2 linked regions of the Pelodiscus sinensis genome follow. The protein of the gene in region 2 interacts with the protein of the main gene of each other region in a pairwise test. Links are inferred from orthologs where the notes say so. Each region holds a gene or a part of one and is shown on either strand. Other genes may lie near its edges.

The links. The genes of interacting proteins can lie anywhere in the genome.
Region 1: the proteins of DMC1 (region 2) and KCTD17 interact in binary tests that used the Homo sapiens proteins (3 or more experiments, as listed by UniProt). The two-hybrid records come from large-scale screens. The link is inferred for Pelodiscus sinensis from reciprocal best matches to the Homo sapiens genes DMC1 and KCTD17.

The regions. Positions count from the first base shown.
Region 1 is NC_134711.1:92,999,046-93,006,237, reverse strand, and holds the start of KCTD17 (BTB/POZ domain-containing protein KCTD17), read left to right. Parts: upstream 1-4,110; 5' UTR 4,111-5,322; coding exon 5,323-5,538; intron 5,539-7,192. Other genes in the region: MPST (3-mercaptopyruvate sulfurtransferase), read left to right, coding at 145-443. UniProt on the Homo sapiens protein: Substrate-adapter for CUL3-RING ubiquitin ligase complexes which mediates the ubiquitination and subsequent proteasomal degradation of TCHP, a protein involved in ciliogenesis down-regulation.
Region 2 is NC_134711.1:91,668,473-91,676,094, forward strand, and holds the start of DMC1 (meiotic recombination protein DMC1/LIM15 homolog), read left to right. Parts: upstream 1-4,599; 5' UTR 4,600-5,143; intron 5,144-5,790; exon of another isoform or gene 5,791-5,996; intron 5,997-7,622. UniProt on the Homo sapiens protein: Participates in meiotic recombination, specifically in homologous strand assimilation, which is required for the resolution of meiotic double-strand breaks.

The DNA.
Region 1 (7,192 bases), about 1.3 Mb from region 2:
TGGCACTGGCCCCAAGGTAAATTGAGTTTGAGACCCCTAGTGTAGAGGGAGGGGGGAGTGAGAGAGTGTGTTTTCAGGAAGGGGTGGGACCCTCCACGATGTAAAGATTAATTTGTCTGCATTGGTCCCTTTCTTTTCCTCCAGGAATTGAGCCTGGTCATATCCCTGGCTCCGTGAACATCCCCTTCTTGGATTTTCTCACAGAAGCTGGCTTTGAGAAGACTCCTCAGGCGATCCGCAGCTTATTCCAGGAGAAGAAAGTGGACCTTTCAAAGCCAGTGGTAGCCACATGTGGCTCGGGAGTCACTGCCTGCCACGTGGCCTTGGGAGCCTACCTTTGTGGCAAGCCAGAGGTGGCTATCTATGATGGTGCCTGGGTGGAGTGGTACATGCGTGCACGGCCTGGAGAAGTCATCTCTGAGGGCAAAGGCAAGACCCTCTGAAGCACTGCTTCTGCCCCTTCAGTACAGACAAATTGCCTTGAAACAAGCTCTGGGAGATGGTCTTAGCCTTTCCTGTTTTAAAATCATAGTGTGCTACTGAGTGAAGGTCTTGGGTGACAAATCTAAACATAAATGGTTCTAACGCCTTACCCTTTCCCTCCCCCCACTAATTTTTCTGGGCATGGAAGATGGCTTTTTATACCATCTTCGTGGAAGGGTGGGGTGGGGAAGCACTGATCATAGGATGGTGGGATAATTAATTGAGGCTGGATTTCTCCATGGGGATGATCTCTCCTGATTAGACACTGTGTGAGGAATATGAGTAGAGGAGCTTTTTGAGTATCTCCTCGCACGCGGACTCTTATTGGATTTGACCTCAGCCAGTATTGCATCCACCATTGTAATCCTGTTTCCTTTTTTAAGAATATATTTCAAAGATTATGTAATAAAAACACTTTTTAATATGTTTAAAGGTCTTCTCCTGTACTGAGCCTGGGACAGTACAGATCAGAGGCATCTTGCTCTGTCCCCCTCCCTGGGGACTGTTAGCCCAGCTGCGGGTGGAATTTCTGGCTCAGGTAGACATGGCCACGCTAGCTGTGATTAAGATAGTGTGCTAAAACCAGTAGTTGTGGTAGCAGGGGGGTGCAGAAAGCTGTTGTAATGAGGTGAGTTTAGTGTGTGCTTCATCCGTGGTAGGTATATTCAGTTTCCCCTGGGGAGCCCTGTAACTCCAATAAGAAAGGGACAGCATACGTCTCTGTTTGTCTAAGTCTGTTCATGTCCTGCAGCCAATAACAAGCATGCAGTTGTGTGACTTTCAGCTGCTCTGCTCCAATTCAGCATGACACTGTATGCTGTAGACAGCATTGTAGCCATGTTGGTCCCAGATTATTAGAAACAAGGTGGGCAAGGTAATAGCTTTTATTGGATCCGTTTCCCTTGGCAAGAGAGACTAACTTATACAGAGCTCTTCTTCAGGTACTTCCACTGACTTGCACAGGACTGTGCCCATGCTTAAAACTAGTTTTGTGCTTCAGTACCTTGTCCTAGGGATGAGCTACCCCTAAAGGCAGACATTTTCTCAAGGCTACTACTGAAGGTCTTGAAGCTGAAAATTGCCCCAGCAAATAATGTCGAGGTATTTGATTCAGTGTGTTCCAAAACTGAATTAATCTCTTGGTTACAGCTGTACAAGCACATTGCCATCAGTAAGTTTGATTAAAGGAAGGTTCCTGTTGGTCATAGCACCCTTTATCCTAGATTACTCTGAAGAGAGAAGTGTATGTGTGGGTGTTTGACTTCTGATTAATTCTCAGTGAGCAGCTGGGATGCATTACAAATGGTGAGTTACATGTTTACAATTTGCCCTTCCTCCTATGATGACTTCGTTCTTATGGTAGTCCAGGTCTGGGCACTAGAGCTGACAGCACCCCTCATGCTATGAATATAGACTTACCCTAGACCTGGGTTTCTCAAACTTCTGACAATGAAAATTACTAGGAGCAGGGGCCCCAACCTGAGCCCCCCTGCCATAGATGGGGAGAGAAGGGGCCAAAGATGAAGACAAAGGGCTTCGGCCTCAGGTGGGAGGCCTGTAACCTGAGCCTTGCCTGAGAGATGGGACTTTGGCTTTGACTCCAGGGCCCAGCAAGTCTAATGCTAACCCTGGCAACTAGGGATGTAGAATCCTGGTTAGGTTAACCAGTTAACAGGCCTGGGCGGGCTGGCTAAACCCATCATTGAGTGTCACGGCTGGAGCAGCCCCCTGCCGGTTGACCGGGTACCCAGGCAAGTGTGCCAGGGGCATGCTTACTGGGTAATCGGTTAACACTTTGCATCCTTCCTGATGATCATTTGAAAATGGAGTCATGACCCAATTTGGGTCCTGATCCACCATTTGAGAACTACCTCTGGTCTAGAGTAGCAGGGAGCCTAAGCCTGTGGCTTGCCTTGCTTGCCCTCCCTCTTCTCCCACTGTGGGAGGAGGCTGTGGCTTGAGCACCAGCTGACTCTCACTGTTGCTGGGGGGTGGGGAGGAGACCTGAACGTCGTGGGCCCAATCAAGGCAAGATGCAGACCTGATTGGGCTCACGGACTCTGCCTGGCAGGGGGGAAGGAAGCAGTGCCTCATGGCTCCCCATGATTCAAGGAAGTGATTCTTGCAGGCACCATCTCCTGTCGCTCCCGTTGACTGGGAATCATGGCCACTGGGAGCAACGGGGGTGGGAAGAAGGGGTAGAGAGAGATGGGGAAGGTGGTGCCTGCAGGGAGCATGAGGATCTGTGTGGAGATACTTGTAATCTCCCCCACCCCAGGAGTTGTGCCAGGTAGGTGCCCCCAGACCCATATCCCCAGCTTGCTCCTGCACCTACACTCTGCTGCAGTGGTGGGCTAAGATGGGGGTTCTCCCAAAAATGCTGTAAAAGCTCCATGGCCTCAACAACTGGTTTTCTGCTTATAAAATCCAGGGCCAGTGCTTGGGGCTAGCAAGAGTGCAACTACATGGTAATGAAGCAAAAATTGCTCAGACTTTGGCTTCAGCCCCAGGTGGTGGGGCTCAGCTTTCTGCCCTGGGCCCCAATGAGTCTACCACTGGCCCTGCTTGGTGGACCCTCCTAAAACCTGTTTGAGGCCCCCATGGGTACCTCAGTCCCTGGTTGAAAACTGCTGGCCTAGAGGCTAATTAACAGCTGAAAATAGCTAGAGGGTATATTCCAGCTATGCTATCCCCTTCCCACCCCTCCAGCAGACCCTGTACACTGGGGCCTGTAAGAGGTGTGATGTATTCTGGTGTAATAAAGTTGGGGATCTTTGCAGTGTTTTACATGAATCTTATGCGTGCCTCAGTTTCCCTGTGTGCTGTGTGGAACAAGCTGGTGGGAGACGGTTTGTTAAGGAGGCCCAGGTTTGACTTGGCCTAGCAACCAGGACCCCTGGACAATGGCCTGGAGATGGGCAACCCTAGCGACCAGTAAGCTGGTGACCAAAAAGCCCAGCTCAGCTAGGCAGTCAGCCATTTTTGACCAATGGGAAGACGTGGGGGCAGAACAGAGGCAGGAGTCTGAGACTAGTTCTTCCCCATTCTTCGGAAGCAGAAGTTGCATTGTTGCCCCTGTTGTCCTCTTGCCCTGGGCCTGCAGAGCTGGGAGTGAGGCTATTGTGAGTAAGTGGAAGATGGCCCAGGAGAGCCCCAATGCAAGGATCACAGACTTCCTCAGCGAGCTGGCAAGCTACGAGAAGAACATGGTCTGGACCATCCACAAGTACCATGTGTACAGAAAAGCAGGTTCTGTGATATCAAAATATCCAAGCAAAATAAAGGGCTGAAGTGAGAGGACCCTGGTGACCTGACCAGCAAATTCCTGCCAGTGGGGGGAAAGGATGTGTTTTCCAGGGAATTCCTTTAGGCTGGGTAACATCTGGGGAGAAATCTGTTGCCTTTATGACCCTTTTATGTAGTAAAAGGACTGAATTGCACCAGACAATGGGATAAAAAAGGTGGAATGAGGATGACCCAGGAAAAACCCCCTGAAAGGTTAATAGACATGTACCTATTCAAATTTTTATACTTCAGTGCTGCACTTTATGGCTATTACCCTGGCCAAAAATGGTCAAGTGTGCTTGCTTGCTTTTTTTTTTTTTTTTTTTTTTTTTTTTTTTTTGGCGGGAGAGTCACTCTGGGCCAATGTCAGCCTTTAGGGAGAGAAGCTACTAACATTGTTCTGTCAGATATGGATGGCCATTAATATGTCAGGTGACCTCTGGGTGAGGTAGAAGCATAATTGGATGCATAGATAAAGCTTTTGTGTTTCACCTAGCCCGGGGTTATGTGCAACTTGACTTCTCTCTTCCTTCTCAAAACCACCCCCCAGAGCAGGGCATTTAGAAGAGAGAGAGGCAGGTGCTGTTTGAATGAATTAATCCCCTGGATGGGGTGGGCATAGGGGAAAAGCCTGGGACTGAATGGATCTAGAGAAGCACATCCAGGAAAGAGGCAGGTTTAGTACAGGTGGGGGTTAGAAGTCATAAGTGATTATTACAGTAGATACCTTTCAAGAAGCCAGGGATTTGATGTTGGCCACTGGTCTGCTACCTCCAGGGGCATCCATGTAGTCTCAAAGAAAGAAATGGTCTGAACCTTCCATGAGCACCTTGCTGCACTATCAGAGAAGTGAAGGCTATGATGCGGTGTAAAAGGAGAACAGGAACCAGATCTGTCTGGTTCAGCATTGGAAGTGTTAGCCCCAACTGTTCTGTGCCCATGTGCAGGATTTTTCCTCAACCCAAAGCAACACTGTCTGCACTACCCAGAGCTGGTGTATAAGCTGCACCTTCCAAAATCCTCTCATATCCACCGCCACCAGCATTAGTGCTAATCCTCCTGGCATCTGCTGGTGCCAAAAATGACCTGGGGCTGCAGAGACAGTGAGCTATGCAAAACTACAGCTCCCAGGATTCTTGGGTGACCAATGGCAGAGATGATACAATGTGGTGATTAATATTAATAGCCTTTACCTATTGCTTCAAAGTACTCTACGGCTGTCAACTGAATAGCAGTGCCCAGAGAATGAATCTAAGGCAAGCCTATCATCCTGGCATCCCTGGAACTGTGGGGAGGGAGTTCAGCACGAGGAGCTGGCTTTTGCGGCTTGAGCCCATCTCTAGTAAAAGCAGACTAGGGATGGGCTCAGTGTAATGTCATTGTCCACAATCTTCCTTCCCCAGAGATCCCATCGCTGCCCGCACTGAGCACAAGGGACAAGCAGCCAACTCCGAGGTGGAAGGCACCGGATAAACTTCAGATCCCAGAATCCTCCAGTGCCCAACACCTGCAGTGGCGTCTCCAGCGGGGGGCCCTGGGCAGAGAGAGGGAGCGATGAGGATGGAAGGCGGGGAGGAAGCGCAGGCTGCAGAGCGGGTGTCGTACACCTGGGAGAGCCCCCCGCCGCAGCCCGCGGACGGCAGCCGGGCTAAGTGGGTGCGGCTCAATGTCGGGGGCACGGTTTTCCTCACCACCAGGCAGACCCTGTGCCGGGAGCAGAAATCTTTCCTCTGCCGCTTGTGCCAGGGGGAGGAGCTGCAGTCAGACCGGGTAAGCGGGGAGCCGGTGCCTGCTCTCCCTCCGCCCGGGGAGCGCCGACCCTGCGTGTGTGTGGGGGGCGGACAACAGCGCAGGCCCGGCTGGGAGGAGCAGATCCAGGCGGAGGAAGGTGAAGGGTCCCCGGGCAGTATCAGGAGGGAGCGGGCTGGAGAGACAGGCTGATGGACGGCGCGCACCGGCCCAGGGCAATGGAAGAGAGACCCCTCGTTAAAACACCTCCCCTCTCCCCCGGCGAGCGCGCCCCCTGCTTTCCAGCTGTGCAGAGCCCCCGGGGGTTTTGGACCGGACCCCTCTGTGGAAGGGGAGTTGTTTCTGGCTTAATAGTGGGGACCAAACAGGCCTGCCACCTTCCCTCCCCCGATAGTGTGTGGCTCAGCCTAACCCCTGCTTCCCCATCAGCTGTCTGGGACACTGCACCAGCCCCACAAGAAATGCCCCCTCTTCTCCCACGTGCCCTAGCCCCCCACAGCTACATAGGACTCAAGTCTGTGCTTTACTGTATGGGGCCATGATTACTAGCCTCCCATAAAAGAGAGAGAAGGTGAACGAGGTATGTTTTTATTGCACCAGCTTCTTTTGGTGACAGATAAGCTTCGCAGCTTACACACAGCGCTTCTCCCATTCTCCTCCTCCCAATACAGGCTGAAGTGGTAGGAGCCCTGAGCTGAGACTCCACATGGTATCTTTTTATTCTGGGATCTCCCTGGTAACCGTATAGAATAGTATATACTGTACCTTTCAGGGAATTTAGGGAAGCTGATGGGGGGCTGCCAGCCCTCCCTGTTTCCAACTCCCTGCCCCCAAAGGACAGGCTGCTTTTCCAGGAAATCCTACAAGTAATGGACAAAGCAGGCGGACAAATGACATTATAAAGGAGCATTGCACTACTTTAAATGAGAATGTGTTCTCATAGATAAGCAACGGAACAATGTTCACCAGGACAATGTTAAGTAGGAGTTACTGTACAGGAAAGGGTTAGGGATCTTCATTTCAGGGGTGAAATACCAAGGACCTAAGGCCTCAGCAGGATCAATTCAGCCATTTGCTCTTTCAAGGGAGATGCACTGAAAATACTGTGCAGTTGTTCAGCATGCATATTAGGATGGAGACCTATAACAAAAAAGTTCTGCCTGAATGTTAACAATCCCAGCACACTTTTAATTAGAGATTGGTTTAACATTCCTCTTCTCCCTGCTGTTTTGTAGTGTAATATGTGCCGGTTGGCTGCAGCCATCCACCCCAGAGATGGCTGCTTTTCTGTGGTGCCATATGAATGCAGTTTGGGAAGTGCTTTGGGATCCAAAGTTAGCTCTTGTATGCTACTTTTAACCTGTAGCTCTCAAATCAGGTTAGGAATTTTTTGATAAAATGTTTTTTCCTTAGAAAATGCCAGTTTGTCAAAATCAAAATTGTTCCTGGGAAAGGGGTCAGTTTTGACAAATTTCCTGGGGGTTTTTGGAGGTAGGGAGGGAGTTTTGGAACTGCTGAAATGTCTCATTTTGACATTTTCAAAATGAAAATAATTCTGAGCTTTGGATCAAATTTACTTTGCTTTGAAATTTAAGTTATTTTAAGAAAAAAATGTTTTAAAATAGTCAAAACTGAAATATATTTTTATTTTTCCAGTTAACATTTTTTTCTTCTT
Region 2 (7,622 bases):
CCACAGAGGTCCTGGATTTCAGTCTCTTTCCTAGCAACCTAAATTTGGCCTCCAGGACATTTCTCCTACCTTTCCCTACGTCATTGGTACCTACATGTACCACGACCACCGGCTCCTCCCCAGCACTACACATAAGTCTATCTAGATGCCTCGAGAGATCCGCAACCTTCGCACCAGGCAGGCAAGTGACCATACGGTTCTCCTGGTCATCACAAACCCATCTATCTATGTTTCTAATGATTGAATCACCCACTACTAACACCTGCCTCTTCCTAACAACTGACATTCCCTCCCCCTCAGAGGTATCCTCAGTGCGAGAGGATGCCGCAACACCCTCTGGAAGTAGGGTCCCAACTATGGGATGGTTTCCCTCTGTTTCCACGGAATGCTCTGTTCCCTTGAGACTTTCATCCTCTTTAAGAGCACTGGGGCTCTCAACCTGGGACAGTACTACAGTGGGACAGTACTACAGTGTCCCGGAAAGTCTCATCAACATATCTCTCTATGGAAAGCTCTCAGTAACAGAATAGGAAGGTTATGAAAACAAATGTGAGGAGGAAGCAGCTGAATAAAATGGGAGATGAAATGCTGTCTAATTGAAAAATGAATGGAATAAATTAGATTGGTCTTAAAACACAAATATTTTTCTACTAGATAATGTGAGTACTTGGGGAGCAATGCCAGGAGGGAGGTTCAGCCTTTTCCATCTCTGTTCCCACTAATGAAGATCCTCTGCTATTTTAATTCTAACTTCCCTGACATAAAGCTGACCTTAAATATCCTATGCTATTGTAGTCCTGAGCCTCCATCTCCCGCCCATCTACACACAGCTTTATCAGTTCATCTCAGTCCTAACTTATCTATGATGTCTTTGTTGCTTTACCAAAAGACAAGATTTTTTTTCTTTTACATTTCAAATTACTGAGTCCACTCCAACCTATGCAGATGTGATCCAACAAGGTTTTAATCATATCCGCCAGTTGGACAAAGCTTTCAAAACAGTGTACCAGAGACACCGCAGAGAAATAAAGGATTTTGACCAGCACCAGTTGAAAGAGAAGCAAGAATTCCTCAGGTACAAAAAATGTGTGTGGTTTCAATTTAACATATTCTGTAATAATCTGAACACATCCAGTGATTTATTGGTGTCTGCCAAAGGTGAAACCTATTGCCTGACATTGATTTCAGAGGGTGTTGGGGAATAAGGAAATATGGGGATATTTTTGTGGTGTAACATTAGCTAATTATTCCAGAGGGATACAGAGATGTAATGTGATGTTTTACTGATGATGCTTTAGATGGAATCTGTGAGCTAATGGTCAACCAAAGGAGTTTGAGAGTATTGTTTTGTTTTGGAAAAGTGATCTTGAATTTTGTTGAGGGTAACAGGGTGATTAAGGGCACGTCTACATTGCAGGGCAAAAGCTGAATTAAGATACGCAACTTCAGCTACATCAATTGCGTAGCTGAAGTCAAAATAGCTTAATTCAGCTTTTGGCGCTATCTACACAACAGGAAGTTGAAGGAAGAACACTCTTCTTTTGACTTCCCTTATTCCTCATGAAATGAGGGTTACAGAAGTCAGAGTAAGAAGTCCACCATCTCGAAATAATTTCAATATAACGGCTTGCTGTGTAGACATGTACTTTATTTCAAAATAACACCTGTTGTTTCAAAATAATGCTGCAGTGTAGACATGCCCTAAGAAAGTTGGCTTGGAGGGGGCATTACATGTTTATGGATTTGGGGATTCAAGGGTTAATTAACATCAATTCCAAAGTGGTGGAGAAATCCACTCTTAAAATTTCTTTGATTGCTTTGGTGATTTTAGAAATCTTAGTCAAAGATAGCTTTGAACAAGTTATTTTGATTTTTTCTCTCTCGTTGTCCTTCCCATACTACAGAAAAGAGAAGCAATTGCTGTCAGAGAAAGGAGAGATGAAGAAGCTGAATCAAATGCTGACCCCTCTTCAGTTCTGACAAGACTTCAAGTCTGTCACAGAAGTGTCTTTATGCAGAAACAGCCATAAATCAAGCTGCACTCTGAGCAAACCAGAATTCAAGATTCCCCGACCATAAATTGGCATAAATGTCCATTCAGACTTTCATTTGCATCTGAAGGGTGTATTTTAGGCAGCCCACTCCAAAGCTTTCTTCATCAATTAGAACAGACAAACCTGAAAAAATGGGAAGAACTGAGTTCAAAAGTCTGACTGATTTCTAATCTCTTTGATCTGTAAAACTGGACTGGAAAAATATCACAAGATTTCAACAATAGAAGTAATATGAGGATTAAAAAAAGTCACTGGAATATTTTTAATGGTTTCATAGTTTGGTTCTGTGTCAAAGATTTGAGCTGTTTTTTATTTTGTCTGAACTGTCTTGGCCCAAGCTGAAAGGCAGTGTAGTTGAGACTCAGTGCATCGCCTCTTGCCAACAATATGTGGTAATGGAGTTGGGCTGGCTAGCTGCAGACCTTCCCAGAAAGGAGGAAAGTTGCAGAAGGCTCCTCTGTGCTGGTGAACCCTGCAATGAATCCAATCCTGTGTCGAGTTTCCAGTGTATAAAATAGAATCCCACTCATTAGTGGTATGAGATTGTATAGCACTTTACAGCTTTGAAGTTCAAGTGCTGTAGATCAACATTATCATTTTAGCAGCACTTTTGGATGAATGGTAGCCTTTCCAGCTTGGTCAACTCATCTGCCTCCTAGAAGAGCCTGTCTATAAACAGGAAAAACAGGGCAAGGTTTGTCTTTTGGGTTTTTTGTTTTTAAATGGGAGGCTAAAGCTAAGCCTTGTCTACACAGGAAAAATATCATCTTTATTGGCATAATTTAGCTATTCCAGAATAATTCCTCCCCACACTATTGGTGCTACGTCTACACTGGCCCCTTTTCCGAAAGGGGCATGCTAATTTTCAACTTCAGAATAGGGAAATCCGCGGGGAATTTAAATATCCCCCGCGGGATTTAAATAAAGATGTCCGCCGCTTTTTTCCGGCTTGGGGAAAAGGCGGAAAAAAGCGTCTAGACTGGCCCGATCCGCCGGAATGAAGCCCTTTTCCGGAGGATCTCTTATTCCTACTTCGAAGTAGGAATAAGAGATCCTCCGGAAAAGGGATTTATTCTGGCGGATCGGGCCAGTCTGGACGCTTTTTTCCGCCTTTTCCCCAAGCCGGAAAAAAGCGGCGGACATCTTTATTTAAATCCCGCGGGGGATATTTAAATCCCCCGCGGATTTCCCTATTCTGAAGTTGAAAATTAGCATGCCCCTTTCGGAAAAGGGGCCAGTGTAGACGTAGCCTTGCAGAATAAAAGTGAACTTTTATTCTGGAATAATGTCCAGATGGGGAATATCTTATTCCATCTGGAAACAACAAACTGCAGCCAATGGGAGCTGCAAGGCTATGGACATGTAAAGTAAACAAAGCTGTGCAGTCCTGCCTCCCAAGTTTAGAAAATGCTGTCTTATTCCATAAAAGCTATGTAAAGCAATTCCCCCTCCCGCCGCCCAGGGTCTTAGGCTCCTAAACCCACATTCAGGTACCTAAATACATGGCTTGATTTTTCAAAAGTGCTGAGCACTCTCACACTCCCATTTAGGAAGATTACAATTTGCTTTTTCCATGTTTCATTTTCTGACATAGCAAATAACAGACATGCTTAAATATACCTCTGCACTATTGGGGACTGAGTTTGGGATTTTTCAAAAGTGCCTTGAAAGTTATTAGGATTTGTCCTGCTTCCACTCAAGTGGCTTCAAAAATCTTATCATAACTAAAGTCAGCAGCTTTGTTATACAGCCATTCCTTTTCTATAGGGATAGGGATATATGTTATGAAAATACTAGAAGGCTGCCCTGGCATTTCTTGGGTCCTTAACTCAATTAATTTGTTTTTTGAAAAATAATATGGTGGGATGATGGATGAGGGGTTCAATATGCAGGTTGAACTGGGGAGAGAGAACTACCCCAGTCTTCTCTCAGCACAGTAGCTTGGGGTCAGACAAGAAGCGCCTCTCTAGGGCTGCTGCAGCTCCAGCGGGCACAGCCGAGGGATGGGTGCATTTCCCCTGGCTGAGCTAGGTCTAGGTTCATCTGCCTCTTGTGTTTCCTAGCCAGAGTGAGGAGAGCAGCAAACTGTATACTTTCCCTGGAAGAAAAGCAAGCAATGTTCCTGTACAAATTGGGGGGGGGGGATAAAGATCCCACCCACACTAAAGGGTGGCTTGGGGGTGGGGCAGTCTCTGGGGGGTGTGCCCCCTGCTAACTAGCCACTTTCACCTGCCTGGTGCCTCCTTCCCACCCCAGGGCCAGCAGCTGCTCTCAACCCAGCGAGAGCCAGTCAGGGCCGGGGACAGCAAGTGATGGAGAGGGCGGGGCCTCGGGGAAGGGGCGGGGCAGATCTTGGGTGTAAAAAGATTGGAGACCACTGAGAACGCTTCAGTCAGTCTCTGTCCCTCCCGCCCGACTCTACCATTCTGGGCTGTGGAAGGGGGGGGGGAGGTCCGACACCGGATACCGATTCATAGCTTGAAACTCTGTCAGGGCCGCTGTACACGGATCGTTCCATTCGTGAGCAGCATCCGGCCGGGCGGGTGTATTTTAACCCAGGCCCTCAAACAGACCAGCGTTCTCCCGGCTCCCTGCCTTCCCCTCTTCCCCAGTGGTAGAATCCAACCTCTTTCTTCCCGGTGGTAGGGTCCCTTCGTAAACAGCTGTGGACGTCGCCGCTGTCGGTGACCACTGCGCGTGCGCGAGGCAGCGTTGTCGTGTCAGAGACTGAACTCCGGGTGCGCGCGCTCCCGGGCAATCGCAGACCTTCGCCTCAGCCACTTTTGGCGGGAAAGGGAGACGCGTTTATCCCCGGCCCGTCTGCAACGAACCGCCAGTAACGGCCGGGCGGGGCAGGTGATCTGAGACTGCGAGGCAGAGAGCGGCCAGTTCAGCTAGCGTCGGATCCAGCCCGACCTCGCTGCGCCTGGCCAGAGCCCGCGTGCCCCACACAGAGAAATAGCGCTACGGCCCCTGGGCTTGAACAGGAGATCGGCCTAGCAAGGGGGCCTGGTCTAGTTAGGTTAACCTGGCCCCCGCTGTACTGACAGCTAATTTTTCCATCCACATAGCGCCTGCCTCCTGGAGAGGTGGATTAAATACAGCAACGGGGAAACCTGCTCCTAACATAGGAAGCGGCTGTATTTCACCCTCGCTGTAATGGCGCGGTTGCTGTGCTGCAGGTGTTCCCTGACAACACGTAGGATTTATTATCCTGGAGGTGTGGAACTAAATATAAAGGGGCAATTACTCTGGTTAAGACTGGAGCACAACAGAAAAGATTCACACTTTTCCCTTGTCAAGACACTCCCACCCCTCCTCTCCCAACCCCACGTTCTCTCTCAACCTTCATTTCCCATCCTCACACCTTGCTCCATATTGCTCTGTGTGCTTGGGGCCCTTATCTCAGTGTGCCAGGGAACAATAATGCATGCCACACTTGTAAAAACAAAATACAGGACTATGTAGCACTTTAAAGACTAACAAGATGGTTTATTAGATGATGAGCTTTCGTGGGCCAGACCCACTTCCTTAGATCAAATAGTGGAAGAAAATAGTCACAACCATATATATCAAAGGATACAATTAAAAAAAATGAACACATATGAAAAGGACAAATCAAATTTCAGAACAGAAGAGGGTTCTGAAATTTGATTTGTCCTTTTCATATGTGTTCATTTTTTTTAATTGTATCCTTTGGTATATATGGTTGTGACTATTTTCTTCCACTATTTGATCTGAGGAAGTGGGTCTGGCCCACGAAAGCTCATCATCTAATAAACCATCTTGTTAGTCTTTAAAGTGCTACATAGTCCTGTATTTTGTTTCAGCTACACCAGACTAACACAGCTACATTTCTATCACTATTGTAAGGACAAAACATTCTTCAAGATCAGTTCGTCTTCTGGGTGCCTTTGTGCCTGATTTTTGGAGTTGGTCTGTGTAAGTTTTTGGGTATAACTCCAAGGTGGCTGGGGGGCAGAACCACATTACTATAGCAGAAGCACTGAAAGAAAAGGGCAGTGTTTCTACTTCTTCACTTCTGAACAGGGTGCATTATAATTCCCCCTACATTCCTTGCTGGCCAGCAGAAAGATACAGTTATGGCTCTTCTTACTCTGCCAATTTTGCATTGCTATGTATCCAAAGGGGAGTAGTCACCTTGCCCTTTTGAATGCAAGTAATGCAGTGCATTTCAAAAACAAGTAGACCTGTGGTACTTTAGGATATGTCTACACAGTAACATGTATCTTGAAATAAGCTACACAATTTGAGCTATGCAAATTGTGTAGCTTATTTCAAAATAGCTTATTTTGAAATTTGGTGCTGTCTACACAGCACTAATTTAAAAATAAATTGCTATGCCTGTATCTTCGTTAATCCTTATGCAATAAGGTTTATAGGAAGCTGGAATAAGAAACACATTATTTCAAATGAATTTCCAGATAGCAGGCATGCTGTTAAGACATGCAGAACGCTAGTTTGGGATAATGGACATTATTCCAAAATAGTGCCATTGTGTAGACATACCCTTAGGCTATGTCTACACTCGCGGCTTCTTGTGTGAGTAATATGCAAATGAGGCTAAGCGTGGAATATCGCTGAGCCTCATTTGCATACCTAATGAGCCACCTTTTTTTCAGAAGAGGCTCTTGCGCAAGAAGGAGCATCTACACTGCACCTTCTTGCGCAAGAAAAACCTTCTGGCACAATGCCGTTACACCTGTTACTTTTTAGGAAGAACGGCCTTGCGCAAGAAGGTGCAGTGTAGACGCTCCTTCTTGCGCAAGAGCCTCTTCTGAAAAAAATGGTGGCTCATTAGGTATGCAAATGAGGCTCAGCGATATTCCACGCTTAGCCTCATTTGCATATTACTCACACAAGAAGCCGTGAGTGTAGACATAGCCCTAGAGACTAACTATAGAATCATGAGCTTCTTCAAATGAGCTGGAGTAGAAATAACATAAACCAAGATATATAACAAAAAAAACCAAAAAAGTACTGGTCAATTGTAGGACTGGTGCTAATTAGGCTAATGAAATGGACTGGAAGTGTCCCATTCTTAGCCTTTGATGTAAAAATGCAGTTGTTAAAGGCAGAGGAGACTGGCTTTAACATGCAACGCATTTCAAGACAGGGAAGGGATTTATTTTTAGAAAGTGCAGAGAGGGGTTTTTAACATGTCCTTTGCCTTTTACATTATGTTTTTCTTCTTCTAGTATCTGAAGACAAAGGTCTAATTAATGTTACTTCAGGAAACACTTTACCGTTTGTTAGTAGTATGTTAAAGGAAAATGTATACAGATGACTACATTTTCATCCCTGTTCAGGTGTGATGAGAGGATAGTTTCATTTGTCCATAGGAAAGAAGTTCATTGTGGTACCATATGGAGATGTTTTGGGAAAAATTAATTTACAACTCATTTTAATATTTTATTAGAAAGTAAGATAAGTTACTCCATTTTATTTTTACTTCCAAAGAACTACCTCTAAAATTACACCAGGTTTTTTTTCCCTTATTTTTTCCCATCTTCTCTAACCAGCAAGACTCACCGGGTCACATCACTC